Linked DNA regions of Oryzias latipes. The protein of the gene in region 1 interacts with the protein of each later gene in a pairwise test. Links are inferred from orthologs where the notes say so. Each region holds a gene or a part of one and is shown in the gene's direction. Other genes may lie near its edges. The genes, in order: thrombospondin type-1 domain-containing protein 4, cpne7, natd1, aqp1, stk16, cfap206 and ammecr1.

The links.
Region 2: the proteins of thrombospondin type-1 domain-containing protein 4 (region 1) and cpne7 interact in binary tests that used the Homo sapiens proteins (3 or more experiments, as listed by UniProt). The two-hybrid records come from large-scale screens. The link is inferred for Oryzias latipes from reciprocal best matches to the Homo sapiens genes ADAMTSL4 and CPNE7.
Region 3: the proteins of thrombospondin type-1 domain-containing protein 4 (region 1) and natd1 interact in binary tests that used the Homo sapiens proteins (3 or more experiments, as listed by UniProt). The two-hybrid records come from large-scale screens. The link is inferred for Oryzias latipes from reciprocal best matches to the Homo sapiens genes ADAMTSL4 and NATD1.
Region 4: the proteins of thrombospondin type-1 domain-containing protein 4 (region 1) and aqp1 interact in a two-hybrid assay, tested with the Homo sapiens proteins (2 studies listed by BioGRID and IntAct). The link is inferred for Oryzias latipes from reciprocal best matches to the Homo sapiens genes ADAMTSL4 and AQP1.
Region 5: the proteins of thrombospondin type-1 domain-containing protein 4 (region 1) and stk16 interact in binary tests that used the Homo sapiens proteins (3 or more experiments, as listed by UniProt). The two-hybrid records come from large-scale screens. The link is inferred for Oryzias latipes from reciprocal best matches to the Homo sapiens genes ADAMTSL4 and STK16.
Region 6: the proteins of thrombospondin type-1 domain-containing protein 4 (region 1) and cfap206 interact in binary tests that used the Homo sapiens proteins (3 or more experiments, as listed by UniProt). The two-hybrid records come from large-scale screens. The link is inferred for Oryzias latipes from reciprocal best matches to the Homo sapiens genes ADAMTSL4 and CFAP206.
Region 7: the proteins of thrombospondin type-1 domain-containing protein 4 (region 1) and ammecr1 interact in binary tests that used the Homo sapiens proteins (3 or more experiments, as listed by UniProt). The two-hybrid records come from large-scale screens. The link is inferred for Oryzias latipes from reciprocal best matches to the Homo sapiens genes ADAMTSL4 and AMMECR1.

Annotation. Positions count from the first base shown.
Region 1 is NC_019874.2:19,007,694-19,012,439, forward strand, and holds the start of thrombospondin type-1 domain-containing protein 4, read left to right. Parts: upstream 1-1,708; 5' UTR 1,709-1,998; coding exon 1,999-2,021; intron 2,022-3,283; coding exon 3,284-3,347; intron 3,348-4,746. UniProt on the Homo sapiens protein: Positive regulation of apoptosis. May facilitate FBN1 microfibril biogenesis.
Region 2 is NC_019861.2:20,465,321-20,469,511, forward strand, and holds part of cpne7 (copine-7), read left to right. Parts: intron 1-729; coding exon 730-813; intron 814-889; coding exon 890-979; intron 980-1,104; coding exon 1,105-1,203; intron 1,204-1,566; coding exon 1,567-1,653; intron 1,654-2,090; coding exon 2,091-2,150; intron 2,151-2,606; coding exon 2,607-2,740; intron 2,741-4,191. UniProt on the Homo sapiens protein: Calcium-dependent phospholipid-binding protein that may play a role in calcium-mediated intracellular processes.
Region 3 is NC_019866.2:14,551,734-14,556,386, forward strand, and holds the start of natd1 (protein NATD1), read left to right. Parts: upstream 1-1,465; 5' UTR 1,466-1,485; coding exon 1,486-1,666; intron 1,667-3,047; coding exon 3,048-3,166; intron 3,167-3,264; coding exon 3,265-3,381; 3' UTR 3,382-4,653.
Region 4 is NC_019875.2:28,339,616-28,343,878, forward strand, and holds aqp1 (aquaporin-1), read left to right. Parts: upstream 1-1,485; 5' UTR 1,486-1,547; coding exon 1,548-1,910; intron 1,911-2,277; coding exon 2,278-2,439; intron 2,440-2,573; coding exon 2,574-2,654; intron 2,655-2,834; coding exon 2,835-3,014; 3' UTR 3,015-3,410; downstream 3,411-4,263. UniProt on the Homo sapiens protein: Forms a water channel that facilitates the transport of water across cell membranes, playing a crucial role in water homeostasis in various tissues.
Region 5 is NC_019861.2:14,422,782-14,426,295, forward strand, and holds the end of stk16 (serine/threonine-protein kinase 16), read left to right. Parts: coding exon 1-29; intron 30-364; coding exon 365-493; intron 494-616; coding exon 617-738; intron 739-1,103; coding exon 1,104-1,242; 3' UTR 1,243-2,867; downstream 2,868-3,514. UniProt on the Homo sapiens protein: Membrane-associated protein kinase that phosphorylates on serine and threonine residues. In vitro substrates include DRG1, ENO1 and EIF4EBP1. Also autophosphorylates. May be involved in secretory vesicle trafficking or intracellular signaling.
Region 6 is NC_019865.2:27,270,076-27,274,266, reverse strand, and holds part of cfap206 (cilia- and flagella-associated protein 206), read left to right. Parts: intron 1-1,584; coding exon 1,585-1,783; intron 1,784-1,874; coding exon 1,875-2,015; intron 2,016-3,747; coding exon 3,748-3,941; intron 3,942-4,035; coding exon 4,036-4,176; intron 4,177-4,191. UniProt on the Homo sapiens protein: Essential for sperm motility and is involved in the regulation of the beating frequency of motile cilia on the epithelial cells of the respiratory tract. Required for the establishment of radial spokes in sperm flagella.
Region 7 is NC_019872.2:19,529,780-19,534,732, reverse strand, and holds the start of ammecr1 (AMME syndrome candidate gene 1 protein), read left to right. Parts: upstream 1-1,685; 5' UTR 1,686-2,785; coding exon 2,786-3,264; intron 3,265-4,953.

The DNA of each region.
Region 1 (4,746 bases):
CCATGTCTGAGCTGGCATCTAGCTCAAAACTGTACGGCTGGATAGCTCAATTATTGCTCGCCATCGGTGAGGAGCAGCCCCGGTGACCCAGAAGGGGATCACCAGGACTGCTCCCCTTGTGTCCTGTCACTGGGGAGAGTCATCTGGACTGCTTTTCTTCCTCGTGCCTGTTCCTGAGGAAGGGGTTCTCTGGAACCCTTCACATCTGTTTAGCTGCTGGCATCATCACAGTTTTCTGGACTTGTTTTTTTCCTCCAGGTCCCTTCTTCTCAGGTGTTGGGGGCATCTGGGATCTACCATTTTGGGGAGGGGTGCTGTAAGGGTTCTGTGGTTTAGTAATGATATTATGTTTTGGCCATGTTCTTGGTTGCCCTTTCTGAGTCAGACCAGTTTCAGCTTAATCACCATCCACAGTTGTCTTCATTTCAGTTAATTGCCCTCAGTCCATTTAAGTGCCTGGTTTTTAGGTAAACTGTTCTGCTTTTTCACCCTCTTTTGTTTCTCCATGTTTTTTGTGTGTGTTATGTTTCAGTGTATTTATTATATGTTATGGTTACTGCCACCACACCTGATCTCTCCTCCAATTTAGGTCCTACGCCACCAATTCCTGAGGGGCTGTAAGCTAGCAGCACAGCGGGTAAACAAAGGGATGATGGGAAAGGAGGGCAGGCTTACTCTGCACCAACAGTGCCGCCCACAACTCAGAGGTGAATTTCTGAATGATTCCTGCTGCTTTGCAGAAACTATGTCCTAGAAAATGACACGTGTTTTTTTTTTTAAATTCAGCCTAAAACGGCCTAATCATGATTAAAAGACTAAGGAGACTTCAATATAAAATTAAGCATTTTGGAGTAATTTCTTAAAACATGTCATCTTTCAAATATTACATTGATGCCAGTCCTGATTTGAGTGAACAGTATAAACTCCATAAAGGCTTGTGTGCATCCTGAGCCTTTTCCTTCAAACTGAGTTACGTTTTATTGGTTTAGAAATCACCAGCCCTTTCTTGTACACGTGCCGCTGGAGAAATCTTGTAAAGAACCTATAATTTTTTCCTGTGTGTGTGTGTGTGTGTGTCACCATGTCTCCTGAGGGTCATTTGACCTAAGTTACTCATTTTAGTAAAGTGTCTGGCTGGGCAGGGCTGTGTGGATTGTCATTTCATCATGTTTAAATGAGATGGCATCAGATGGTTTTTCACATCTGTTTCAGCCCTCACACACACACATATGTAATCATACACACTCAGAGAGGCACATTTCAGCCTCAGAAGTGGCTTGTCTCCTGGGTGCACTTATCCCAAACACCAAATTGCTGAAGCATGTTTGGTTTCTGGTGTTTCAATGGGATTAAACAGTGCACAGAATGCATGTTTTTCTCATGTAAAAATATCTGCTTGTTTTTCAAGAATGGGGGGGGGGGGGACTATGAATCATATTCAAACTGTAAACCACATCATTTGAGCTTGTCAGAGTGTCAGACTCATGAGATAGTCCCTTCCCAACTTTCTTGAAGAAGGCTCAGGATCGTCTGCGCTCATTATTATTCAGTGTGGGAGAAAACGCACAAGGAAACGTTATTTTTTCTTTCTCGATTGTGCAACTAAAACGAGGCTCTGAGGATTATTATTGCTTAGTCAGGACCAACAGTTTGTGAGTATGACAGAGAGAGAGGGTAGGAAGGCGTGAGGGAGAGGAGGGGGAGTGTATAATTTGTGCATGTGAGAGTGAGAAGGAGCCCGAGCGAGAGTTGTATAATCTGTCCATTTTGTGTCTCCCCTCTCCCTGCGTCTCTTTGTGCCCCCACCTGGTTTTCATGCGTCACGGGAGTTTATAATAAGGAAGGACCTGTGAAAAGTTGTGGACTGAACGGAACACACGGAACTCCTCCCGGTGACAGAGCAGGAGCAGTCCTCGCATGTCTTTCAGGCTGGAACGAAGCTCAGATTTGGACCCAAAGCATCACTGAGAGTGTCAGTGTGCAGGAGAATTTTGGAGCATGCAGCTCGGTTCACTGATCAGGTAAAAGTCGGTCCCGTCCAGCTGCTGACTGATTCTTGTCGCCGCATGTGGATTTGCATCTTTCCTTGAGTGTTTGTGCTGACTGTCTCTACGGTGGTTTTGTTGGTGCGGGAAACTTTTACGCGCGAGGCTCACTTGTTGCGCGCCGCTCGCTGCGTTAAATGGTTGGAATTTACCCAGAGGCGCGCATTTTTGAGTAAAAACTGTGTGTTTCCACTCAAATTGGACTTTTCTGAAAGTATTTGTCAGTTAAAGGTTTCTCTCACCCTCTCCCTGTCCTCTCAGTGAGTTTACTCTGCAGTAGCGGCCGTGGAAACGTGGAACCGCGTAGGGGGTCGTTATTTCGGCCTGAGCAGCTCTGTTGTGTCGGGCTGTCCGGGACTTTTCTCTGTGTTTTTCGGGGGTAATTGTGTATTGCAGCGTGGGGAAGCTTCCAGAGACCGCGGCGGTGCACCACATTGGGTAAAACGAACCAATTACACTGCCTACATGTGGCTTGCGGACTGGAGATTGCGGTGATGGTTTGGTTCTCTTGGTGAGCGCTGCAAACTTTATCCCAGCGAGCCCGGCTGTACTTGCACGGTCAGAGCAATTTCTTGGCAGACTGCAGGACGTTATTCCACTTGTTTCCACTGCACTTGTCTCAGAATGTTTGTGTATGGGTGAGATTTTTCTAAATAGATCCGACATTCGCACACAAACAAGTGAGCTTTTGACACTTCTACAGAAAAAGAAAAAACTTAATTTTCTCTTAGAGTTATCCCAATTCCTGACCTCCCTGCAGGAAAACCGTCCTACCCCAGATTGTTTTCGATGTTGGCTCATTAAGCCTGTGTGTGGTTATTGCATATTAGTGTTAAAACCACATCCTCCGGGTGTGTGCAGAGGGAAAACACGCAAGTGCTTGTAAGCACTTCCAAGAGTTTCCCAGATTGATTGAGACGTTTGAACCCCGAGGTCATCGTGAGATTTGTCATCACTTTTCCCGACAAACACCTTTCCATTCAGGTGAAACAGGTTATTTAGTGAATGGAACATTCCTATACCTCAGCTAAATAATGTAAATTGAAGGAAAATATTTGAGACAGATCACATAGGCTTAGAATAATGAGAGTCTTATGTGTGAACGTGAATGGCTTCTAGCTGCACTTTTAGGTCATGGAGTACTGATGTGCTTTAGAAAAAGAACCCCATTCAGCTGCTGTCATTTTTAATCCTGTGATTCTGCCACTTCTCTCCCCCTCTGTTCTGCATCCCTCCAGGCTCTGTGTGCTGTTGGCTTCTGTGGAGGTCACAACCTCCACAACCAAAGCTGCCAAGAGGAAGGTGAGTCATTAGATCATCCAGTTAGGTCAACACATGACTGAAAAGTCAGGTTGACACCCCCCCCTCTCCCTTTCTGTGTGTCCCAAAGCATGAGACCAGAACAGAGAAAGTTAGAAATAACCTTTTTCTTATCGTTATCCTCTCCTGGAGACCAAATACTGTCATGCTTTGATGAGCTATTTAACCCGGTGACAGTAAATGTTACTGATTGCTCAAACAGGGATTAAGGCAAAATCATGCAAAGGGGCGTGCACTGCTGGAGGGTGTGTTATTTAAGTCGAAGCAACAGATAAAGTGATTTTAAGGCTTATCTGGCACCAAAATGTCGCGCACACACCAGCAGAAACTCTTTTACCTTAAAATATGCTGTCATGAGACAATCACCAGGTTCTGTTTTGGTTGAGTGGCAGAGACAAGACTTTGCCAAATGATGTAATGCTACGTAAAAGTCTAGTTGACCTTTTTTTAATCGCTGTAATCATTCATTGCTGGATCTCATTGTAGAGACGCTTAAATCCTTTTAAAGGCAAGAGGGTTTGAGAAGCCTTTTTTGCTCAGGAAAACAAAATATAAATTATACCATCATAGTTAAAATAATTAAAATTTAATCTAAAGCCATATTATTTAATCCATCACTCAAAAACAGTAGTGAAAGCTTCTTTTCCAATGAAAAGTTATGTGTCTGCTCATGTTAAAAGTCACCTTTTTTTTTAATAAATTGTGATGCGTGTGTTTATGGCAAAGTTCAAAGGACCTCCAGATTTATGAATACAATAAGTATCTTGTAAAAAGTTTTAGGAGCAGACCAAAATAGCACCTCAGTGGTGCTGCAGAAGTTAAAGTGGTGGCTGCAGAGGTTAGCAGTGGTTGCTGCAGGGTCACTGCTCACAGCTCATTAATGCTCCCAGTTATGTGGCAGCTGCAGGTTAGATGCCACCTGAGACATGGACTTGGACTTAAAAACTCGAACTTCAGTATCGCCTGCAGAAACTTGAGGCAGAAACAGATAAGCAAGTGGACAAAGTTTATCTGTTTTTTTTCCTCTTTTTTTTTTTAGCTCCAGGACATCAATGTCAGAAAAAATAAATGAAAACTGTCTTTACACAGCGTTTGCACACCACTGGCTGTTATTGTGTCCCCACAAGTTGTTTAAAGTAGTTTAACAACAATTTGTGACAATAGAATATTATTTTAGAAGTTTTCGGACTATAGACTTGTCTTGGATTTGTATCCAAATGCTTCAAACTTGATTTAAAGGGCCTATAGCATGCTATTCTTAAGCTTTTTTGAGTAATCTACATTCATATATATGATAATAGATTACCTTTGGCACACTGAATAGCAAATTTTCTAATCAAATATTAATTCCTTTCCTGAGTTCTTTTCCAGCCCATAACTA
Region 2 (4,191 bases), on another chromosome or scaffold:
GGGATGCCAAATGTTTTGTATGTTTATGTTTAAACACTGTGTGTGTGTTTTCCCCCTAAACACTGAGGGTGTAAATGAATGGGAACAGTTCCTAATTCGTGCATCTGCATGGAAAGACACGCACTGTGAAAGAAATCCGTTTTCTCAAGTAAACATATTGGCAGCAGAATTCACTTGGGGTTTTTCAGGACTTTATAAAACCTGTTTGGAAAGAAAATTCCATTAAAGACGTACTCAGATGAAAATCGTGTTTTTGGTGTTTTTAACATGTTTGGTGGCATTTTTCTGATGATGGAGGACATATATAAAGAAAACTAAGATTAGAATTGCATTTCTGAGTATTTCTTTGTTCAAATCATTGTGAATGAGAAATAGACGTAAAAAAAAAAGGTGTTTGAAAAAGTTTGGTGCTGTGATGAAGAAGCTACAATCGGCAGGCTCCCCTCAATTCTGATGCATTCATTTGCAGACAAATAGATGTCTTTGTTTTCCTTGTCCGAGTTGGCATCTGGCTCAAAGCTGTACGGCTCCAATATTGCTCGCCATTTCTGTTGAGCCGCTAATGTTAGGTTGAGGGTGTGAGGGGCTGCAAGCTAGTGGGAGAGAGTGTAAACAGATTGATGACAGGAAGTGTAACCCTTAATAAAGGTTGCAACTAACAGGTTTTTTTAAGGGATGCAAATATGTAATAGACATTGCTTTGCTCATTTTTTCCCTTTGTTTCTGCAGGACCTCTTTAGCAAGTCAGACCCTTTTTTGGAAATATTTAAAATCAATGATGATGGAACCGAGCAGCTCGTCCACAGAACTGAGGTAAAGTCTTTGGATTTTCCTTTCAATAGCTTGATTAGCAGTAGGCCTTGCTAACAGTGTGGGGCTAATCCAACAGGTAATCAAAAACAACCTGAATCCAGTGTGGGAGCCATTCAAAGTCTCGCTCATGTCTCTGTGCAGCTGTAATGAGGACCGGAAGCTCAAGGTTTGCTTTTGCACTACTGTTTTTCCTTTTGTTTAGAGGGAACTATCACTATAGATTCTAGGACTCAAGTGAGATCCAATTAGCAATTCAGCGGGAGTAAGCAGTGTTTTCTGTGTGTGGCACAGTGCCTAGTGTGGGATTATGACTCCAGAGGGAAGCACGATTTCATCGGCGAGTTCTACGCCACTTTCAGGGAAATGCAGAAAATTTCCAGTGGAAATAAGGTCAGTAAATATTTAAAGGTGAGACAAAGTGGAGGCTAGGCATCAATATATCTGCTTCATCCATTTTCAATATATATGGCTTTTATTGAATTCTGTTCCCTTTTGGATTTTTCTGTTGGGTTTGACTGGGTCCTCTGGTGTCCTCACACAGTCCAAGAACATGAATGTCAGGTTAAGTGGTGATTTGAAATTGGCTGTAGAAGTGTCTCTGAATGTGTCTGTGGTTGTTTGTCTTGATAACGCCTCAGTGACCCTGTAACCCATTTCCCCACCTAATAAGGATTTAGGATAATCTGCTGATAGAATACATGGTCCAGAACACCTTTCTCTGCTGTTTCTGATTTCTGACTTTTTCCACTGAAGGTGACATGGGACTGTGTGAACCCCAAATACAAGCAGAAGAAGAGGAATTATAAAAATTCAGGGGTTGTCATCCTCAACGACCTCAAGGTAAAAATCTTCTCTGGTTACACATCAACTGCACAGAACATGAGTTGTAGTCAAAGTCGCATCAGTTGTCACACACCTGGGTGTATGAAATTTGTTCTCTGCATGTGAACCATCCCCTGGGGGGAGCAGTGAGGTGCAGTTACAGGAACCGTTTGGGGGTTTAACCCAGGAATCCAATCCTTTAGCACTGAGTGTCAAGCAGGGAAACATTGGCCCTCATTTTCAACAGTTTTTGGTGGATTTGAACTTGCAACATCCCATTTTTAGATTGTAGTTTACTCTGTGAAACTAAATTATATGGCTTTTAAATCAAACTTTATCTTTACAGAAGCAGGACCATAAAGATTTCTGGAAATAACTTGGTGACATTGACTTTAGGATTTATTTTAAATGAGATTTGGCCTGAATAAAATTGCATATTTTTGTTTTTCCTGCAGCTCCACAGAGTGTACTCCTTCTTAGATTACATCATGGGAGGATGCCAGATTCATTTTACGGTAAACTGAACAATTTATTATACATTCAAAGTTTTTTTTCTGATTATGTTGTCTCAAATCGAGGTGAGTTCAGTTGTCTTATGTCTAAGTGTAATTATTTTTATTGCATGTAGGACGCTTCATGGAACATGTAGAAATTTTATTCAGTATGCAACCTTTGGTCTGCTCTCTGTGGTGTTAACTTCCATTTTTACTGGATCACAGAAGCGCTGAATAATAATCATGAGGAAAGCTGCCACAGAGCATGTGAGCTCTAACTTTCAAACTGATGTGGGTGTAAAAGAATGCAAGTTTCTTTCTTCGATCATATGAATTACTTGACCATTAGACATTTTCAGCCTCCTCATAAGGTGATAAGAGCCCAAGTGAAAGTCTTTGCTGCAGACAAGGAGCAATAAGAAGAATTGATTTTGTTGTATTGTTCACAGTTTCCTTTTTTCATTTTCTTCCTACCAGGTTGCTATTGACTTCACAGCCTCCAACGGAGACCCAAGGAACAGCTGCTCATTGCACTACATCAACCCCTACCAGCCTAACGAGTACCTGAAGGCGCTGATAGCCGTTGGTGAGATCTGTCAAGACTATGACAGGTGTGTCAATCTTCTGTTTCTCAGAAAAGGCTCTGTGGAGCCTGCGGGAACTGTGAGTGTCTCTTTTGATGCAGAGTACAGTTACAGAGTGCTCCACGTTTGCCATTTCGCTGGACTCTCTTCTCACTGAAATGAGCCACTCCATCCATACCACAGCAAAAGGACCATAATGGGAAATGTGGAGTGCAAATACAGACTCCTGCAGCATATTGCATTTCGGCTTGCCAGGTTGTTATGAAGCTAATGGAAGTGGGATACAGACCACTTTTCCCTCACATTTAGTTTTTCACAGAAATGTATTTAGCACCTGACATACTCTGTAATGTTTTAGGAGAAGGCATCACTTACAGCTCAAATGAGATGCGGCTCAGTAAAATGTGAAAATGCTGTCACAGATGATGAAAGCGTGCCATGTTTAGTGTCTGCTTGCATTATTGAAATCTGTTGCCGACATTATTCATTTCTAACCTGATCCCGGAAGTGATACATGCTTTATTTTAGAGAGAATAATGTGCAAAAGAACTCGTTAAGAGAAAGAAGGACTGAGTTGCAGTCTAAATTCACAAAAACAAGTCAGCGTTTGAGCCAAACAGAGCAAGTTGAGATGTTTTCACATGAAAAAGTGGTGTATTCTTCATGCCTTTGTCACTACATTCACCTATGAGTTGAATAACAACTTTTTCCAAGCACATGACTTGAGATATCCATTGTAGCTTCAGGTTCAAAGGAGGTCCTTTTTGTTTCCTTTTGAAATTTTGAATTTTTTGTCCTGCAAAGCACAAAGCTGTGCCTAATTGGCATGTCAGTTGTGGTGCACTGTTTTGATTGGATGTCATAGTAACAGTGGTGATTCGGAGCATCTTTTGCACAGACTTGTTCTTTTGATTCTTCAAAGGCTCATTACAAAGAATTTGAGGCAAACTCGTGCAGAGATGGGGTCTCCACCAAGATGGCAGACACTTCCAAATAAAGTGGAGAGCATAATGGCTTTGGAAGAAACAGCAGGGGGTAGAATTTGCTGCATGAGGCAACACAGAACATTTCTTTCATGGGGAAATTCTTGTCACTGTGAGTGAACGTGCTGGTAAAGGCTATGAATTTTGTGGAAAATATCACTTAATTATAGGAAAATTTGAGCTTGGCGCACTTCAGAGAAAGATGCTCTCATCTGTTGAAATTAAGCCAGATGAGGATTAACACTCTGACTCCTGATTTATGCAGATTCTTCTATTGAATGTCAGGGGAGCGCTGTATAGCTAATTATAGCATTCAGGGCATTCTGTAGCTCCAAAGACACACAAAAAAATTAGCGCCTCATCCTTACAGCTTAGGCCTTTTATTTTCTCATTGAGTCATGAAAGGGGAACATATGTAAAGCCAGCAAAGTTAGGACATTCATACTATTGTTTTTTGTATTTGACCAAAACTGAACAGAAGCTGTGTAAAAAAAA
Region 3 (4,653 bases), on another chromosome or scaffold:
AAACCTCTGTAAATGACAACAATAATAAATAAGAAGAAGAACTTGGTATTAAACTACCCTTCCAGCGAAAACTAAAAAACGAATAAGACAAAAACAAAGGGAAGAAGTCTCACATCATTGCAGACGGCAAAACCTGAAGAAGCAGAGAGCTACCTTCACAAAACCCCACAAAGATTTGACAAACCTCATTAGAGTTTTGTTGGATTAGACCAACAGATTAAAAGGATTTGCACACAAAACATTAGTGAACTTGACGCACCGACTTAGAGTTCAATACGTGGAGATGTCTGTGTTTATGCAGGGACAGAAAAGGGATTTTACCCCGAAAAAGATCCCGAGAGTAGTGACGAAGAGAAGACATTGCAATCGTGGCTATGAAAGGTAATCTGGCCTAATTTGAGCTATTGTAATCCATTTCTTTGTGCTTAAATAAAGATAATCTAAAGCCATGTTCATAAAACCCTTATTTCAAGATTGTTTTTAAATGATGCAAACATGATACAACAGCCTAAACAAAACAAATTGTATAATTTTTTTTAATTAAAATATATACTAAAACAAACGGAAATAAAGGAAAGTCTTGAAAAATATACATAAATACAAAATGTTGTAAAAATGCCATGATAACATTTCTCAAAATTTATAAAAGAAAAGGAAAAAGGGATGTTCTTCACTATCATTTTGAAAAACATTACAAGAAACTTTTGAATTCTGGTTAGATAATTTAATTGCATTCCTTTTACATTAAAAAAATATTACTGTGATTTATTCAATGTAAAAATAACCCTATATGTCCTTTTATTGAATTTCAAGTTATTATATTAATGTTGTGAAACTGATATTAAACAATTTTACGTAACCTTGTGACACGTAAACAAACTACACAAGAACAACTAACAATACAAAAACTGCAAAAACATTATTTTTAAATCCAATTAATATGATTTCATTGCATCATAATCATTTAAAAAAATTAAATAATTAGTCATTAATGAAACATTTTTTCAGCTTACAATATTTGAATTGGCCAGACCAAATTTTACAGAGAGGAAAAAGAATTAAACCTGCGAAACAAATAATAAAGTAGAATATTACTCACAGAAATAGAAAAAGAAACCTAGATAAAGTGGACGTCGGGATATCACATCCTCCAATTAAAACAATAAAGGTGACACATATACAAACTTTTGCATTAATTTCACTTTAAAAATCGTCGATTTTTATGTTGTTTGTCAGAAGTAGAAGATTGTGTTATTTTACGAAAAAAAATGGTTTAAGAAAAATAGATTTCGTATTTTTATTTATATGTTTCTATTTATTATAAGTATTTTTAACTATATAGATTTGTGTAGTTTTTATTGTGATTTTTAACTACTGTAATTCTTTAACCAGAAAACATTTATTTTCGTACCTTAATTTCTCATCTCTGACGTACATCGAGCTGATTGGCTAGTCCCCACGTGACCTCACAGCTGATTGTGTTGGATGAAGTGTTTTGCTTCAGTACGTTCATCGTCGTCTCATGTAGCCATTTCTGGTTATCAGCACCGTAGAGTAGCTGTAATACCCCCAATAATGGCTCAAGCGCATGCCTTTGACACCAGCGGCTCTCAAATCCAGGTGGAGCACGATAAAAAGCGCCGGCAGTTTGTCATTAGGCTCAATGGTAAGTTCCGAATGTAAACATTAGCACGCTCGCGCTAGCGCGAGGTTGGCTTGAAGGTTAGCTTTGTCTGCTTGCTAACATTTTTACCTTGTGGGGAACTCCAGCTGCCATTTCTGCCACAGCTGCGCTGCGTTGTTCGGCACCACATAGTCGCTGTTACTCCTTTTATTTTTCTATCAGAAATGTAGTTCATAAACCATGAATGTCTAGGCGGTTTTTCCCTCTCTTTGAGGGGAAAAAAACTTTAGTCGCTTCATTCAACAGATGCTTACTTTTTGCTCCAATCTTAAAAGAAAAGCTGTTTCTTTTCCCACCTATTACATTTCTAAGTGTTTTAGCAATATTACTTTGCTGGTTTATATGCATGGTGGGCTGTAATTTAAAATAATTTATGTTTTTACCATTTACAAATACTGCCTTAAATATTTGCTTTTTTTTCAACTTTAATATGTTTTTTTTTTAATTTATTCAGTTTTTATAGCAAACTCAATTACATAAAGATCTCATCAGTTTCTCCAAGTCAATTGTGAAAAGTGTATTTATATATTGAATGCCTTATTTCACTGAACAGTAATACATTCTATTTTTTTCACATCTTTATTGACTAAAGTTTTAATTTATCGTAAACTTTCAAACTACATCTTTGTACTTGATGTGTGAGACACTATAACGTGTAGGACCTTTAAAGTCCCACTCTAAGCAACTCTTGATCTATGTCCAAAGCATTCCCCGTGCTTTTTTTAACCATGACTGTGCCACTTTAAGCAAAAAAATAATAGTAAATAAAATTAAAAAAAAAAATCAGTATTGGGTTTTTTTTGGGGGGGGGACATATTTTCTGCAGAACGACAGTAGTTCATTAGCATTTTGCCTCCGAGTTGTGGGCGGAACTGTTGGTGCGAGTAAGTACAACGCTCTCCCAGTAGCCTACAGCCCCGGCCTAACATTTGCGGTGCAACAAAAATGGCAAGAAAATGAGGAACTATCCAGCTGTAAAGTTTAGAGCTAGATGCCAGTTCAGACAAGAGAGATGCAGACATCAACGGATTTAGTCATATACAAGTGGATGCATCAGAATGGAGCCGAACAGGGAGCTTGTCGCTTGCCGTAGTAGCTTTTACGTCACACCCACAAGCTTTTTCAAACTGGATTTGCTCCTGATTCCTAACAATTTGAATAAAGAAATAGTCAGAAATGCAACATGTTAAAAACACACGGAGTGTGTCTTTAAAAGGGTCTTTATGACTAGTGTAATGTTGTTCTACCGGCTTTTTGTGTTATGTGTGTCTCTTCGCTTTATAAGGTCAAAGGGTCAAATTTTTCTGGGTGGACCAGAACTTAGCAAACACAAGAAAGGCTCAGCTTTTGTCTCATTCCTCAGGATCCCATGATCGTGCAGTTCTTCTGTACGAGTATGTCGGGAAGAAAACGGTGGATTTGCAGCACACAGAAGTTCCAGATGCATACCGAGGGAGAGGCATTGCCAAACATCTAGCCAAGGTAGAATAGATGAATGAATTCTTGAGTCATTCTGAACGACAAAGTCCTTTTTGGTTGATAATTTGGCAGTTCACTAACTGTGCTTTGTGTAACGGCAGGCAGCCATGGATTTTGTAGTGGAAGAGGACCTGAAGGCTCACCTGACCTGCTGGTACATTCAGAAGTATGTCAAAGAAAACCCTCAGCCTCAGTACTTTGAACACATCTATCAATGACCCAACACAGCCCTGAAGAAGGGATCGAGACAGAGACTCGTGGGAGGGAGAAATACTGTGACGGCATGCCTTGCAGCCGCTGGACAAAATTCCACACACCGCCTCCCAAGTGTTGTTGAACATGTCATTGAGGGAATCCAGAGACAAAACCATCTCTATGATCTCACGCTGCCGTGAGGGTTGACCGTCCTGTCAAAGGGCCATTGACATCCATCACAAAGGGAGGGGGACTGGAGTAAAGGAGAAGCTCCGTTCGGTCTTGTTGTTGCGGAGCGACTGAAGGGTGGTGCCTGAATCTTCCAGAGTTTACCCTCAAAGCTGACTTGAAACAAGTGCAGATTTAAATCAGATCTGATAGGACTTGTTTTTTTTTTATGTCTTTCCTTGGAAATACATGCATTTCTTATCCTTGTTTGATATGGGTATAATGGCAACAATGGGTGCTCCACTTAAATTTAGATTTTGTAGACTTTCAAATTTGCCCCCTGTGTGTTATATCTCATTTTTGCCTCCTGATGTAAGTTTTGTTTTTTTTGTGCTAAAGTCTTCAAATTAATCATGAAACTGCAGCCATTTAATTTTTTTTTTCTTTTGTCATCTTTCACCTACATTTGGCGAGTCACATTTTATTAATAAATACAATTTTAAAGTGGAAGAAAATGTTCAAAGCCTAATTTGGTAATTATTTTCCACTGTAAAAGACACATATGGTGTTTTATTGGAGTTTTAAATTAATGATTTCATTGACAAAGGTGCAGGGATTTGTAAACTATTGATGTCCTGTCAATTTCTCTGTTTATTGCTCATCCTGGCATTTCAACGTTTGCCGTCTCTAACCAAAAACACACTCTTGAACTGAGGGCATTTCCATTATGTGCTGTGATGATTATTACTTTTTCCTTCCAGTGACATTTCATTTGCAATCTGCAACCGAACTGGTGGTTCATATGCCACTGACATTAAAATGAGTTCAACATTTGACAAATAGGATTATTGAGGTGAAAGTATTTTTTTTCTTGTAGATATTTTGCTGTTAACAATCTTGTATGTTTAGTTAAAAAAAAAAGTCAAAAACCTCAGGCCACTCAACACGCCTTGGCATGCAAGATTAAACTGTCTGCTGTGATGGCCAGCCGCAATAAGAAGTCCCTTTGGAAACATTTTGAGCAAGCGCCTAATGCCCAAGACACTGTCAGGTTTTTTTTTTTTCAAGTGGAGTTTTTGTGCTTATTTTATTGCTTCATTCAAAGCAAACCATGCCTGGTGGGAATT
Region 4 (4,263 bases), on another chromosome or scaffold:
TTGCTTATGACTTATGAATTATTGAAAGAAATGATGAATTTCTCTCTCAGACATTAATCACTACAGTTCAACAGCATGAGTCACTATTCTGAAAGACATCTGGATGCAACTTGTTATCTCGCAGTTCTGTCACGGCAACCATGCATAGCGTAGCGCTGCGGCGTGTCGCACAAGTCAGAAGAGTTAATAATTAAAGGATAATAAGTTTGACAGAACACTTTCCATTGTCTGATTTTGATGCTGTATTGAAACTTTAAAAATTAACAGATTCAGATGACTTCATAAAACAAAATGACAAGAACTGAAAGTTTGGATGAAGATAAAAGTGTTTGGCAGCAAAAATTTAAGGAGTTGAATACGAAAGAACAATAATAAGGAATATTTACACTTGAAATTGTACAAAACCTACTTTTATTTTACAAATTTGTTTTATTTTGCTGCTAAATTTGACTGATTGATTCTTGGTATTTACTTTTCCTTTTTAGTTCTGAAATTGTACTTACTACATATACAAATACCTGTGTTTCTGCATTGTTACTTGTAAAAAAAAAAAGCAATAAATCTAAATCTATTCTAAATCTAATCTAAATATGATGGTTATCATATATGAAAACTAATGCAAAAGTCCAGTGACAGGGTCATTTCTAAGAATATGTCATTTGAAAAGGATTTTTTCTATCAGATAAGCAGTGAAAGGGCGGACTGCCTTTTGTTGGAGTCCCTCTTTAAGTGGGGGGGGGCTCCAGAACAGGCAGTGCCGTTCATGGAGTTGATCATTCACTTTCTTGCTCAACAATACAACTAGTAATTGTGCAAAAACGTCAATCAAGTTAATAAATCACAGTTGCTCTATTAGAAATGGAAAAGTTCTACTTATGCAATTCTGATTAAAATATCATTTAGGACCTTTAACTTCAGTTTCTTCATTCAGTTACTTTTTTGTGCCTAAAATATCTTAATTGTATTACTTCATGTTGCTCAAAATTGGAGTAGAAGCCAGGGGGAATGTGGAGCAAAGGGCTGTTTGGAGCTGTCTCCTGCCTTCCTGTATGTTGTCAGTGATCCACGCTCACATTCGTAAGGCGCAAAATTGCACAAAATTGTCATTTAAGGCAAATTTCAGCTAAAAAACGCTTCCCTCTGCTCCTGGAAAGTTCTGACTGGGAGCTCTCTCTCAGTGGGGAGTTTCATTTAGAAACGCCGGTACGAAAGGACATTTTATCTTTGGGTACAGCTATTTAAAGACTCTGTTTTGCTATTCACAAAAGTCCAAAGACCGGAGAGAGTGCTGCACAGGGAGGTGCTGGGAGAAAGCTGGAGGACGGAGAGGGGAGAAGGGAGGGTGAGGAAGCAGAGGGAGGGATGGGAGAGACCGGCCTTTTGGGTTTCTCATTAGTTCAGCGTGGTTCTCCCTTTCAGTTTTTTTTTTTTTTTCTTTAAACGCCCGCCCACCAACCATTATCAGCACCGGCCTTATATATGCAGCCTGATGCTGTTGTTTACGATTACACACACTTTGCAGCTCAAACCGTCACACAGCCACCACCATGAGGGAGTTCAAGAGCAAAGATTTTTGGAGGGCCGTTCTAGCCGAACTGGTCGGCATGGCCTTCTTTATTTTTCTCAGCATCTCTGCAGCCATTGGAAACTCCAACAACGCCAACCCAGACCAGGAGGTGAAGGTGTCGCTGACCTTTGGATTAGCCATCGCCACTCTGGCCCAGAGCTTAGGCCACATCAGTGGAGCCCACCTGAATCCCGCCGTCACCCTTGGCATGCTTGCCAGCTGCCAGATCAGCGTCTTCAAGGCAGTCATGTACATAGTGGCTCAGATGCTGGGTTCAGCCCTCGCCAGCGGCATCGTTTACGGGACGCGTCCTTCCAACACCAGCGCCCTAGGGCTCAACTCTGTGAGTAAAACTTTTTATATCCCCTTTTCTTGACAGCAGAATTTGTTTACCTAAATAGGATGCACGACAGCATGGAGAGGTCGCCATCCTTTAAACGCACACCTGTCCACGTTGCATTTTAAGGACAGTGCATTTAAATGCAACGTGGAGAGGTGTGCAGGTAAAGGACGGCCCCTATAGACAGAACCACCGTTTTTTGTTTGGCAAAAAAAATCTATTAAAAACTTGTAGCTTCAGTGATTTTATGACTCTACTACTGCAATAATATGATAGCATCAAGATGTCAGCATAAAGCCAGTGAAGGGAAACTTTCCATTCTTTCCATTCCAATGTCTGAATTTTGTCCCCCCCCCCTAAAAACCCACAGCTTAACGGTGTCACCCCCAGCCAAGGAGTGGGCATTGAGCTTCTGGCCACCTTCCAGCTGGTGCTGTGTGTCATTGCAGTCACTGATAAAAGGAGGCGTGACGTCATGGGCTCTGCACCCCTGGCCATTGGCCTCTCAGTTTGCCTGGGACATTTGGCAGCTGTAAGTTACACCATCCCCAAAAATGTTTGTTCAAGATTGACCCCAGTGGATTTTAGTGTGGTCCACCAGGTGAATAAACCGCCTTTCATTGCTCCAGAATGACTTCATGTCTTTTTTTTTTTTTGTGATCATAGATCAGCTACACAGGCTGTGGCATCAATCCCGCCCGCTCCTTTGGCCCAGCTTTGATCCTGAACGATTTTACGGACCACTGGGTAAGTTGGAGGGAGAATGAGCCCCAGCAGACCTCAGACAGCTGAATGTGGGCTATTTAGCAAACCCAAGTAACTCACTACACACATAAGTTAATCAGTGTTTGTGGCATTTCTGTGACACAGTAAGGACTTGAACGTTACAAAGTCAGTGCAAAAGCTGATATGAGTTATCTGTCCTAGGTGTACTGGGTGGGCCCGATGTGTGGTGGTGTAGCGGCGGCTCTGGTGTACGATTTCCTGCTGTCCCCCAAGTTTGATGACTTCCCTGATCGCATGAAGGTCCTAGTCAGCGGTCCAGTGGGAGACTACGATGTAAATGGAGGAAACGAGTCTGCGACTGTGGAGATGTCTTCAAAGTAGCTGCAGTTGTTTTTTCCCCCCACGTCCTTGTAAATGTCTATACTAAAAAAAAAATCAATATGTACAAATTTAAAATTCAAAAGCTTTGAAATTTAGTGCAGAGTTTTAACGTTGTTTTGAAAAAAACCAAGGAGGATTGTCGTCTACGGGTCAGCTAGAGAGGCTGTCTAAAGTCACTCCTTTTATCAACGCAGCACAAGCTCTTTATCAAACCGCTGCTGAAGTTTGAAACCCCGGGCGGGACGTTTGCTGATCCTTTTTCTCCATATCAGTATTGTATGTTGAAGCCTATTTTGTATATTACCTGTTTCACTTATTCTTATTCCTGATGGATATTATATTGTGTGCACTCTTTTGTCTAAAGTTTTTTACGTAAAATAAAACACAATGTGAGAATTTGTTGTTGTCGTTTCATTTATTATTCAAATTTTCTTTAATGTTTTTTGTAATACTATGAATTCATCCCAAACACAAAAACTGCATGACATAACATGCAAAAAGTTACCAACAACCTGATAGAGTTCCTAGAAACACACAACTCTCAGCTGTAAGTTTATGATCTGTCAGATTAGATTATGCACGAGTGATTATGAAAATAAAACACAGCCAAAGAAATGATCCGCCTTACTCACGACTGCCCTTACGGACGGATACGGGCCTGCACAAAATTTGAGTGAACCTGTAGAGTGAAATAAAAAATGTTAATGAACATTCTTTTAGAGAACACTTATGCAACACGTAAGGGTGAAATAGGTGGGAAGCAGGTGAACGCTAAGGACTGCACAGGGAACCTTGTTGGTGCAATAGATAAGTGCGTGCTCCTTGCTCCTTGTCTAATCAGGAAATTAGACAGATTGTAGTTCATGTGGACATCTTACAGGGGTCCCACGGGCACGTATTTATCACATGCACAGCTCATGCATGCAGCATTAGTGCACAGTCAGTAAGGAGCCGGAATTTTTTACCCCGCTGATGACTAGAGTGTGGTGTAAAGACATCGTACGACAGCATCACGCTTGCGTCATAAGTCAATCAGTTTTTTATTTAAAAAGCAGCGCAAAGCGCGTTACAATTAAAACAGACAAAAAAATTAATTAAATTAAAACCAACCCACACCTATGCCCCCCCCCCCCCCCCCCCTTATTGACAAATACACCCCACACAGAATGCATACGGGATAAAACCATGACTGTCATTCTAAACGAGACATATGGTTTGGCTCTGCTGTGAGGAGACAGTATATGGGCAT
Region 5 (3,514 bases), on another chromosome or scaffold:
TGGGCTCCATGAATCGTGCGAGAATTGAGGTGAGCGTGTAAAAAGATTAAACACATTTAACCAACTACATTTAAAATGCACATATACAGTACATACTGTTATTAAAATGACAAAAACAGTTAAAAGAACGTTAGTAAACTGTCATTATTGAGTTATTCATCCTAGAAAACAGATGAATTTCAAAGATGTACAAGTGCTTCAATGGTTGACCTTGTTCTCCCTCTGGATGTGAAAATCGTTTTTTTTAGTATTTCTTAGCAAACCAGCTTTAAATGTCAGCTATTTGTTTAAAAACTAACTTCCTCCTAAACCTTCACATCTTTAAATGAACCTTTACTTTTAATGACCCATTTTTCCTTCCCAGGTGAAAGGATCCAGAGAGGCCATGACCCTACAGGACTGGGCGGCCCAGCGCTGCACCATTTCCTACAGAGCTCCTGAGCTCTTCCACGTAGAGAGCCACTGCATCATAGATGAGCGCACTGATATCTGGGTAACGTTGCAAGTCCACTGTCCTCAAGGACTCGTACCTGCCTTTTTCTGGAGCAGCTTTTTCTGAAACCTCTGGAGAAAATGACTGAAGCCGGCCTCTCCTTTGATTCTGCTTTTCCTTCAGTCGCTCGGCTGTGTGCTGTACTGCATGATGATGTTGGAGGGCCCTTATGATCTGGTGTTTCAGAAGGGCGACAGCGTTGCTCTGGCTGTCCAGAATCCAGTCAGCATCCCGCCATCTTGCAGGTCATTATTGGAGGGTTTTGTCGATCTGTTAACCTCCTTTATTCCTTTCAGAAGTTTAAGAAAAGAAAAAATATTTTGCTGACGTTTTTAGTGCTTGTTAAAAAAAAAATCAAAAAAATAAACAGACTTTGGATTTATTTTGGAAGAAAAACTTGCAAGAAATTTCTTATGATGACTATAAAATGAGGGTTTATGGTCACCAGTGGCATTTAAATGCTGCTGTCACTAAGCAGAGTACACCCAAGCTAAAGTGAATCCCCTAACATGCTGGGTTTTTGTGATTCATGTCACGTTTTTTCCCCTCAGTATAAGCTAAATTGTGAATGGAGGATGTGTTGGCTGATATTCTCTTGACCTGTTCACAGGTATTCATCAGGTCTGCAGGTGCTGCTCAGCTCCATAATGGTCTCAAATCCCCAAGAGCGACCGAACATCAGTTGGGTGCTTGACCAGGTTCAAGACCTGCAAAATCGCAGTCCGAACACCGAAACCAACATGGTCTGATCGGATCCACTGTATGCAGAGACCAAACCTTTACACGCCTCAGTGAACTTCTCTTTTTTTGTTTGTTTGAAGAATTAAATCTAAAAAGCTGGTTTTCCATGGGACGGTTGGCAACAAAAGCCTCATCCTCCACTTTATCTGATCAAAGCTTTCTTTTAGCCTTTATTTTAACTCACTAAATTATTTGAAGAATGTGAAATGCCTTAAATCTATAAATATTTTCCACAGTGCAATTATTTCTGGTGATGTCAGAAAAAAAATGCTTCTTTTTTTGGCAACCTTTATTTTGAAAAATCTGTGTATTTGTTCTTCCTGAGACCTAAATGAGGTGCTGCTCATGTGTCTGATGGCTCCATGTGTTTTGGATCCACCTCACTTTAAAATTTGCAGTGGAGACAGATTTGACCAGCTTTGTTTGAAAGCAAGAGAATCAAATCCAAGCATATTTATGTGGTTGTTTCGTTTCGGTTAATTCCGTGGAGAAAAGTGAAGAAATAATTCAGTGAATGCAAGAAACTGCAACTATTTTTGTCCCCCAGATGGAGCAAGGCTCACTATTATCCTTTTTATTAGTTCTTCTAAGTTGACGTCTACCCTCTAGTGGCAGCAGCTTTAACAACTATTCTTCTAAAAATGTATAAACTTTTGTTTAAAGTAGTATTTTTAGATTTTGATATGAAACGAAAACGTACACATTAAAGCTCTGCTTTGGATTTCGGATTACTTTCACTTCTGGGCTCATGTAATTCAATAATTCAGTTTTATTTATTTAGCCCACCATTACAACACGGTTGTGTCAATGAGCTTTAGTAATTGTACATAACATAAATGAGTTATAAAATACAATAGCTAATTGTTCGTTTACTCCTTTAGGGATTAATTTTAGGAGTTAAATGCTGCTCACTTTGTCTTTTATATTTCAGGAAGCTTCTATGTTCATTCCAGTGACTGTTCATGTTCTGTCTAGAGGAGCACCATGTTTATTCTTTTATTTAAAAAAAAACAAGGCTGTCCTTCGATCACAATTGTTACAAACTGTAACATCTGTTTATTTTAAGTTGGAAATAATTGAGGGAATATATTTTTCTGTCACTTCACTTTGTATTGTGTTTTTAAACAGTCTTTTCCATTCCACTGATTCCTGTGTTTTATTCTTGTTTTCTTTGTAATAATCAGACTTGTGTTCTCTCAGGGTTCTCCCATAATCCTCTGGCTTTCGTTTCTGAACCTAAACTCTACCTTTAAAATGTCTTGACAGTAAAAACCTTTTGGGCATTTAAATTGAATGCTTTTTTTGTGACTGTAGTGCAGTAATTTAGGACTGTTTGACCACCTTTAAAATATTCTGCTCAGTTAGCTTGTAGACATCATATTTGAACTGTATTTTGGGAGTACTATACAATGTTTGAGGATACTATGTGTTATTGCAAAGTTTGGATTTAGCCAGTATAATGAACTGTTGTGTTGTTGTGAACCGCAAATTGAAAAAGGTTTAATGCTGCATCCGAAAGACAAAAAGTTCTATTCGTATTGGTAAAGGTACCAGATATTATTGTGTGCTTTTGATGATGATGAAAAGTCCTTTATTCATATTTTAAAACACAAATAAAGAGAAAATATCTACACACCTGGTGTGAGTGGTTATTTAAATATGATGGTGCTTTTAAAACCTTTTAAGTAAAGCAAATTAAAGCTTTAAACAGTTTGTTGAATATATAAACTAACTACGGTACAAATGATAAAAATCATTGTATTTAAGATTTGAAGGGCTCGTAGATTCACCTGCATTTTCTAAGCAGTAGTATCCAGCTGCCACAAGTCAGTGCTGTTGCTGTAAAGGCCTCTGGGATTAAAATGAAAGCAGTTCCACACAAAAACCTTGACCTTAACATTTCAGCTGTTTGCTCTCACACATCCTTATAACACTATGTTAGCTGAATTACCTGCTTCTTTTTTTATTGTTGCAGCTGATTGTTGTGGATTCTCTTCGATCTACAGCAGGGGTGCCAAACTCATTTCCACCGAGGGCCACATCAGTATAGCAGCTGTCCTCAAAGGGCCGGATATAACTTATACATGTAACTAAATGTAATGAAACATACATGTAACTACTCCTTAATGTTAAACAACTAATTTATTTATTTATTATAACTTTTGAAAGTGACAATTACAGTTGCATAGAAAACATATGTTTGCTTGTTACTCTATCATAAATCCTTTTAAATTTGATTCTGTCAGGTTAGATTATATGGACAGTGTTTAAGTCCTAATG
Region 6 (4,191 bases), on another chromosome or scaffold:
TCCTGGTAGGGAAAACACGTCAATGTAAGGGTGGGGTCATCTAAGATAGAACAAGGGTTTTAAGGGGTCTTGTCCAAAGGTGATGTTAATAGCTCAACATTGATGGTAATTCCCCCAGTATGTGTGACAGTACCATTGTTCATGAATCAAACCATGCTTTCCTGCGTGGTAGTCTCTCACCTTACCCGCCAGTTGTGGGATATTTGCTGGTCTAGAAATAGAGCTACATGCAGAAAGCTTTGTTTGAGGAGCGGTAGATGAAAATGAAACTAGGAAGTCATGTACACACCGGGCATTTGATGCGCTTTCTTGAACCAAGAGGACCTGGCTGCAGATACTAATGTAAATGGTAAATGGCGTATACTTATATACGTATATACTTATATACGCATTGATGGTGGCTCCGCTGCCAAACACAGGCGCCCGCCTACCACCAGAGGCAAGGTGGGGTTCAGTGTCTTGCCCAAGGACACTTCGACTCATGGGCGTGCAAGGCAGGAATCGAACCTGCAATTTTACGATCATGGGTCGACCGCCCTACCGCTGCACCACGGCCGCCACCAGTACTGAAAGTCCTTGACCAGAGCCAGAAGTGTCTGCCATATTGCAAAAAAAGAAACAACGTTACGCAGCACTTACAGTTACGGTTTTTCACATTTTAGCCTTTAATAAATGTTTTTTAACAATTCTGAACACTTTTGGATTAGGGTTAGGGACAGGGTTAGGTATACAATTTCTGCCTCCTACCGATGATGTCAGGAGCCATTTTGTTTGCAGCATGGTCTACCCTCTTGAACATGCATTTAGTCCATGGTGTTCACATTGAGTGAGCAGGGAGGGGTTTTTACTTTTTCTTTTGCTAATGTTTACTAGCGCATGTCTGCCACCAACAACTGGAAGAGGCTTGGTGCGAAATTTTGAAGCGTTGCAAATCTGGTGACTCTTCCCCCACACTTTATCTTTCACAGCAACAACCACAATAATTAATTTCTCCTCCATAATCAATCTTTAAATGATTGGTATTACTGTGAACTAAAGGGGACGTCATCCATACGTCACAACCAAATCCGAGTCCCTGATTGGTCAAAGTTTGACCAATTGAGCGATTTTTTTTATTTTTTTTTATTTTTTTTTTACATAGAGCCTGAATATGAGTGAATGGAGAAGTTTGAACATGGAGGCAAATAGAGTTTTCTTTGGAAATGGCCGGTTGAACGCATGTCGCCGAGCTTATAAACGTAGCTTAAGAAAAACAAAAAGTAAAACTTTGGAATCCTTAGACTCCGCCCCTTTGATTCTTAACGAGACACATCATGTTGATGCAGATAGATAGATAACTTTAATTATCCCCAATGGTTAAAACAGCTCTCCAGTAAGAACAGATATAAGACATGACAGTAACAACATTTTTACACAGTAAAAAACAGCGTGCGAAAAAACACATCAAATAATTAGCTAAATAAATAAAATAAATGTGGTGCTGGCAGGACGATCAGAAGGACTCAAAGACGAAATCTTTGTCACCTAGAGAAACTTTTTGTCTTTGATAAAAAGCCTTTCTTTCACGTGCTCCACGTTCTTCAGTCTTCATTCAAGGCCCTGTCATCAACGTGGTCTCGCCTTCTGGATGAGGCAGAGCTCCTGAACTTCCTTCACAAGATCACAGTGAACCTCCATCCATTCGTGGCCTCACAGGCGGAGGTTTTCTCTGAAGCGGAACTGGACGGCCAGCAGGAGGCAGCAGAGGTGAAGAGCGATGAGCAGAGGCTGGCAGAGTCCTCCGGTATGTCTGACATGCTTCACATGCAGCTTAGAGTCTCAAGCTACAGCCTGACGTTTCTTAGATGATCCTGTTCTTCTTTCTTGCCTTCCAGGTGAGCAGATTGATCCAGCCCAAGCAGAGTCAAAGGAATGGCTCATGCCTGAAGCCGCCTCCAACTGCAGTGAACTGCCACTTCAATATAACGGTTTCTGTGGTTACACACTGGTGAACAGTGATGGCCTTCTGCTTCCAGGTACCCATGAAACACAGCTTTTCTGTTATTATCTTCCGTCAAAGTGCAGCAGGTGAATAAAAGAACCCTTACACCGGAACTCATGCAGGAGTTTTGAGTTTTATCAGGCAGCATAAAGGAGAGAACTAAAGACAACTTCATCACCTGAAAGCATCTCATGAAGCTGCAGGTTGCACTGATTTTACCGATCAGTTATTGGAGTGGTCATTTTGGTACCTTCAGGAAAGCCAAATGTGTCTCCCATAGGATTGTGTCTCATTATAATACAATTATGTGAACAGTAAGTAGTCTACATGACCCACTTTCTAAACATTTGTGTGAAACCTCCTCCAAACGTGGCCTGCAGGCACTCATGACACAACCGTATGAGAATTATGTCAGAGGGATGATCCAGAAACTGTTAGTTATCATGTCCCACAGCAGTCCTGCACTGCAACAACCACATTGTTTTTGCAATCCTTTTTTTTCTCTTACAGTACCCTCAAGGAAGACATTTTGCCTGTGCCACATACTCAAAAACTTACTCAACATTTCAACCTAGTACCCGGTAAAAATGAATTTTGGGGATTTTGAATGACCCCCTCAAAACAAAATGATGTCAACACATCTTATAGGGCTGAAAAGAAAAAACAATCAAAATCCACTAAATAGACCAAAAAATGCATGTTTGGATATCCAAAGAAAGGTTTAAAATTATTATGGGATGGCCACAGGACTTACGGCTTGGCGCCCATCTTGTGGGAAAGGGTCAAAGTTATCGATATTTAAATTTTTCCACAATATGGGAAAAGAAAACTTTCGTTCAAGCGATCTTCACAAAACTTCACGAACACGCCGCCAGGTTAAGTCTACACCCACAACCAACATTTGTTGACCTTTGACCTCGGAAACAGGCTGCCATCTTGAAAATTCAAAAAAGAAGAAAAGAAGAACCACCTTTCGTACCAGCTATAACATTAAACTCCTCCTAGGAATTCCGATCCATCCCCTCCTTACTCCTCAAGCATCATTGGGAAGCTACTTGGTAAAAGTCACTGCTTTAAAATGTGTCGATTTTAAACGGCCTTAGCGTGGTGTGCTTGCAAATGTGGTCTTCACCTGTTCTTCGCATATTTTAACAAAAAGTTGTGAACATTTTATACATGAATGCTGGATGAAGCTGAACAAAACAGTGACTATATGTGGGCTTGGTTAGCAACAAAAAACAAAAGTAAATCCAAAAATGTACTTCTGCCGATTCTTCTAAAATGTTCCTAGATGTGTTCGTCACCCCCAGGTGACCAAAAAAATAAAAAATAAAATGGTCGCCATGGAGATAAAACCAACAGAAAAGCTGCCATTTGTCATGTGCAGCTCTGATCAGGGTGGCAGGGGCAGAGGGGAAGAGTCAGGGCTTTCAGCCAATGAGGGCGCCTCAGGAGGGGGCCACGAGGGCCGGGGTTGATAGCGCCCCCGTACCATACAATGCAACTCGCTGATTTCATTTGAGTTTATATCTTCAATCAGCAATATGCTGTTAGCCTTCAAGGGATTGAAATTAATGAAAACTTCTGTAATTGTCTCTTTTTTTTCAAGTTTTCCTTTGTTTTTTAGCACAAATGTGTTGTGATAAGTAAAGATTTTTAATCTAAACCAACTTCTTATGCAGATGGTGTAAAAATGCAATAAGGAGTAGCTTCTGTTTAGTGGTCTGTATAGTTTGCAGGATTTAGAGATGCGCTCTCTCTTTTAGGAAATCCACACATTGGAGTCCTGAAGCATGAGGGAAAGCTCTACGCTTTCAGCTCCAAAGAAGCCGCCCTGAACTTTGCCTCCAGTCCAGATGCTTTTGCTGCAGAGGTGGTGGAAAAAGCCAAACGCTCTCCGGAGCTCGTTCACCTCCTCAACCTCCATCAGCAGCTCTCCTGGATCAGTCCATTCTCTGAGGTTGGCAGCTGCTCCAACAGCAGTTCCACAACAACACAGAATACTGTTGATGTGTTAGCCTGGAGGAAAACAGATTTTTATCTGTGCTTTATAGGTGAAACGAGAGGAGGTTCTGTTGACAAAGACCTTTAAATGTGACAGTGGGACACAGACAGACACCCACCCAACAGAGACCAACATTGATAAGTCGTACGAGTGGAATGAATGGGAGCTTCGGCGAAAAGCTCTCAAACTGGTAAGTTTACAAACA
Region 7 (4,953 bases), on another chromosome or scaffold:
CCTGCATTTCCTTTTAGACCTCGGTGCCTGCAGGAGAAGCTGAGCAGCTGACCTGAGACACCGGTTGGACTGGACTGGAGGGATAGAGAAGCTCAGCGGGATAAGGCGGAGCGAGATCACTCAAAGATTAAAAAAAAAAAAGAGGATCTTAAAGTGAGCTATAAAATGAACAGGCAGCCAGTGAAGGGAAGCCAGAATTAGTGTGATGTGGTCCCTCTTGTGTTTTGAACAAGCTGCAGACGTGAGAGGGACGACTAGTTGACCCCGAAACAAAGTGAGTTACAGTAATCAAGCATGATGTGATGAAGGCATGGATTACTGTCTCAAAATACTGTTGGGATAACAATGGTTTCACCTTTCACCTTAGTTAACCGCCTCAGCTGGGAGAAGCTGAGGCCTCTGAGTTACTGAGAGTTCTCTGTTTACACGCTGTCCCACTAGCTTACAGCTTCTCACAAACCCCAACCTAACAACATTAATGACGAGAAATATTGGAGTCGTACAGTTTTTGAGGCAGATGCCAGCTCGGATGATGAAAACAAAGATGTACATGGGTGTAGTCGTCTAAGTTGAGGCATCAAGCTACATTCCCATTTTCCTCGGCAACACGTGTTCAACTGACAGCTTCCAATAAAGAGTTAATATAAATGCGCGTCTTGAGTTTCTGTGTTCAAAACTCTCACGTTCACCTGAAGCAGGAATCTACAACCGTTTTTGGGCTCTACATACAAAACATGGATCCATTGAATGAGTGTTGCAAGTTAAACCAAGTTGAACTTTGACCAGTCAGCAGTGGTAGTGGTGATTGAATGGAATCCCATTTCATTTTATGGAAGTGACAACTGTTTAAACTTTGATTGTAGAGAAGAAATGAATAATTTCTTCTTTACCAAAATGTGACATTAAGTCTTTGATATATTGGAACAGTGAGAGAAATAGCCTGGAGCAAGATTCATTAGATTTGCAAGCGCTTCCATAGGGACAGTCCAGTGTGAACACCGTGGGCCAGACGTGTCACATTCCCGCTGAAAACAGCATTGGAATGGAGCGGAGCAGGGACCTTGTGGCCCACCCAGTGTATTTTCTGTCACAAATACAATCATTTTCAAGCTGGATTTTTCTTTTCACCTGCTATTGAATCCAAATGATTTGAACAAAGAAATACTCAGAAATGCTCATTCTAAAGCTTAATTTTCTTTATATTTGTCCTCCATCACCAGAAAAGTGTCACGAGAACATGTTAAAAAGACCAAAAACACATTTTTTTATTGGAGTGGGTCTAATGTACACTGTGTTAGCTCTGCACCCTAGATGGTGGAGGTATTTGATCCTACAAAGCATCAACCGCAGAATAATTTCCAAGATATTTATGTCCAGCCCCAGCATGATTCCAGATGAGATGTGGTCATGAGGCCATAGCTCTGCACATTCCCTGAGACCGGCACAGATTTTTTTGGCCTCTAAGCAGAAAGTCCTTTCTGATGATCTCGTGGAAGTCTGCGCGTAATCGAAGCTCTAAATCACAGAGCGGTGCAATGCTCTGAGAGGCGCATTTCACAGTCAGTGAAACCCCTACCGGCTCCTCTCCCCACTTCACGAAGTGCGGGACCCATTACTTTTTCCATGCACGCAGCGTACGCACGAGGACGTCACGGGCGCGCATCCTTCCACTGCACCGTAGATTTCTCCACAATTGCAAACTTGATACCCCTGAAAGCAACGCATAATGTGTAGCAGCTGAGCGCAGAGCCGTTTCAGAATCCGGCTCCGGCGTGCACACGACACCGATGCCCACAGCCTGATCGCAGGGCTTTTCTTTTTTTTCCCCCCAAACCCGGACAGCACAGAACTGTAGCAGCTGACAGACGGATGCGGAAGGAGTGGTTCCAAACCCAGCGGATTTCTGCCGGTTCGGGGACTAGAATGCTCCTCTGTGTGCATCCCCACCGACGGATGACAGCCTCCAACCAGACCTGCCCCGAAAACTTTCAGCTCTGCGTTTGAGGAGAGGGGAGGGATGTGATTGAGATCTGCTTTTTGGTTATTATTTGAAACGCAACAGTCACGATGCAGGTGCAGATTGTGGGCTAACGGCACAGAGATGACGCGCTGCATGGTGCCATACCAACTCCGCATAGATAGTCAGATGCCATTTCCCGTGCGTTTGCCTCAGCGTCTGGAACCGGAACTCTGGCGTTCTGGGCCTGTTGTATAATTAGAAGTTGGCGAGGCAGTTGCTAGAATGGCGCAATGAGAAGCGACGCCGTCTGAGACACTGCGCGCAATCTGTGAAGCTTATGGGTCCTGCGCACTCGAGCTCTCAGCTCCCGGCTTCCACTTGGAGAGGCGCGCTGCGGCGGGGCTACGGCGCACCGGCTGTTGGCTTCACATCTGGACCGCGCGGGTGCTGTCATCTGCGGCCTGTTTGGACCGTGTTTTCCCTGAACTCGTGTGCTTTCAAGGCCGCGGACTAGGGGTCGTTTTGGATAAGGGGGTACAGATTTAGGCTCGGCCTTGCTGTTGTGGCGGCGGCTCAGAGCCTGACCGGCTCCTCCTGCTATGGGCTTTTGTGTAGTGAAATCACGTCTGTTTTTAAAGACAACGCTCCAGTGACACTGCAGTTTCCCATCACAGCAGCCATCGTCTGAATAAACAAATAAACACATAAATAAACCGGTGAAAGTGGAGTTTTGTCCGTCGAACGTAATCAACGCAGTGGGATTTCTACGTCTGCTCGGCGTTCCCCCCCACCCCACCCCACCCCACCCTTCCCGCGGTGACGGTTATGGGTCGGAAGCGGTGTGTCGGTGCAGATTGTTCCAAGATGGCGGCCGGGTGCTGCGGGGTGAAGAAGCAGAAACTGTCGGGATCTCCCGGGTCGGGGGGTCCCGCCGGGGTGGGGGCGGGAAGCGGGGTGGCAGGAAGCGGACATTGCGGTTCGGAGTTGGGGATTGGCTCCTCCGCGACTGTTGCATCTACGGCGAACTTGAGCCGAGTCAACGGCCTGGGGGGAACCGTTAGCGGCGGCGGCGGCAGTAGTGGCTGTGGCAGCAGCGGCGGTGGCACGAACGCGCTGTCTCCAGCCCCGGCCGGTTACAATACATCCGGCCTCTCCCCGAATCTCAGCCCGGGACCAGGTTCAGGAAGTGGCGGCAGAAAAATGGTGGTCTCGGCGGAGATGTGCTGCTTCTGTTTTGACGTGCTTTATTGCCATCTGTACGGATACCAACCTCCGAGAACACCCAGGTTTACAAATGATCCCTAGTGAGTATTTGTTCTGTCTTTTGTCATTTAGCTGCATGCCAAAGCTAACTCTAGTTTTATTTGTACATGTTCTAATTGGGTTCTGGTTCTTCTAAAGTCTCGGAAGCACAAACTGTCACATCCAAACTATATTTAACTTTCGTGAATTTAACTTAAAAAGCTCCCTAAATGGGCTAAGTTAGAAACCGGGCCTAGTCGAAGTAATGGCTCAGGCCTACAACTAAACAAGCGCTCCACGTTATTTAACAATGCAAACACATTTGCAAAATGTGTTACAGACTTACGCGTAGTATTATTTTTGAAATTATTGTCAGAATTTGTCAAAGAAGTTGACTTTATTTTAATATTCCATTGAACAATTCTTGCTTTGCTTATTTAGCATAATGTTTAGCATCGGTTACCCACCATAAACTCTAAAGGAAAACCGAAAATAACATCAAACATTTCTTTTAATTTATCATTTACACGTAAACATAACACGATAAATATAAAAAAAAACAACCTAAAATTAATCTTAATAATTAAGCCGGGTGTTTTTTTTAATCGTGCAAAGCTATCCTCAGTGTTAGCTAAAAGCCGAACTAGCATTAAAGTAAAAGCTAATCCAGTTTGTAGTTTATTACACTTAGTAAGCAGGTTTCATCAAAGTCCTTCTGATGTATTTGTCAAAAAAAAAAAAAAGTAATTTAGACTTTCAGGGTTCATCTGGGTTCGGCAAGTTCGTCGTCGAAGTCAGAGGGGTACAATTTCAGCTGAGTCTAGCATTGGCCAACAAAGAAAAGGTGGTACTTGCTAAATAAATCCTTGGCAGTTCTAAGCTCTCCTAATGCAATTGGGTTTTTTAGCTAAGCGTGATTGGAACGTTGTTCAAACGGAGCATGCGGTGTTTGTGACGCCATCTGTGTAACATACATGACATCTTCTTAGTAACTTCTTAGTCATGTGGAGGCTTTTGTTCTCAACGGTTGTTCCGGCCTCTCTAGTAAAACATTTTGTCCCCAACTGGGTCTCCACGAGTCTTTTTTTTAACACTCAAGAAGCTCAAAGTTGAATATATCAGCTGCCAGATTGATTATAAAAGGAAAGTTTGATTCAAATAATGCTTTATTGATCATTTAAAACGTTTAAAAATATAGTAACAACATAATTATGGGTTCATGAATAAGAAAAGCACGAACTGTGGTCTTTTATCTTTAGGGCAGATTTTAAAGTAAAGTACAACAAGCTAAGTACTTCTTTATGGATATTGAAGTAGTAACAGAAATGTTATAAATTTTGGATAACTTCATGTCACAGTTAGGGTGCAGCACCCTACTGAAGAACCACATTAGTGTCAACTTCTGTGGGAAAACCACAGCACTCCAGACAACATTTTTGTCTAAGTAGTCGGGGCTGGATCGACTGGATCGACTCCACACGGTGAGAAGTGTTGAAAGCTCATGTGAAAACTGTGTCAGGTCTGAGACATTGGTAGTTGTGGTCTGCAGTGTCCTCGACACGTCCTTCACTGGGGGGCATTGTCAGATTGAATTATTGAAGCACTAAAACCAACTCGGGCATCCGTCACAGACACAGTCTTCTTTAGCATGAGTTCATAAAAAAAAAACAAGCTTCAGATTGTCAGAAGTCATTTTTTCCTCTGGTGATGCTTGCATACTACTCTCTAAATTTGCTGTATTTAGGCTGTTG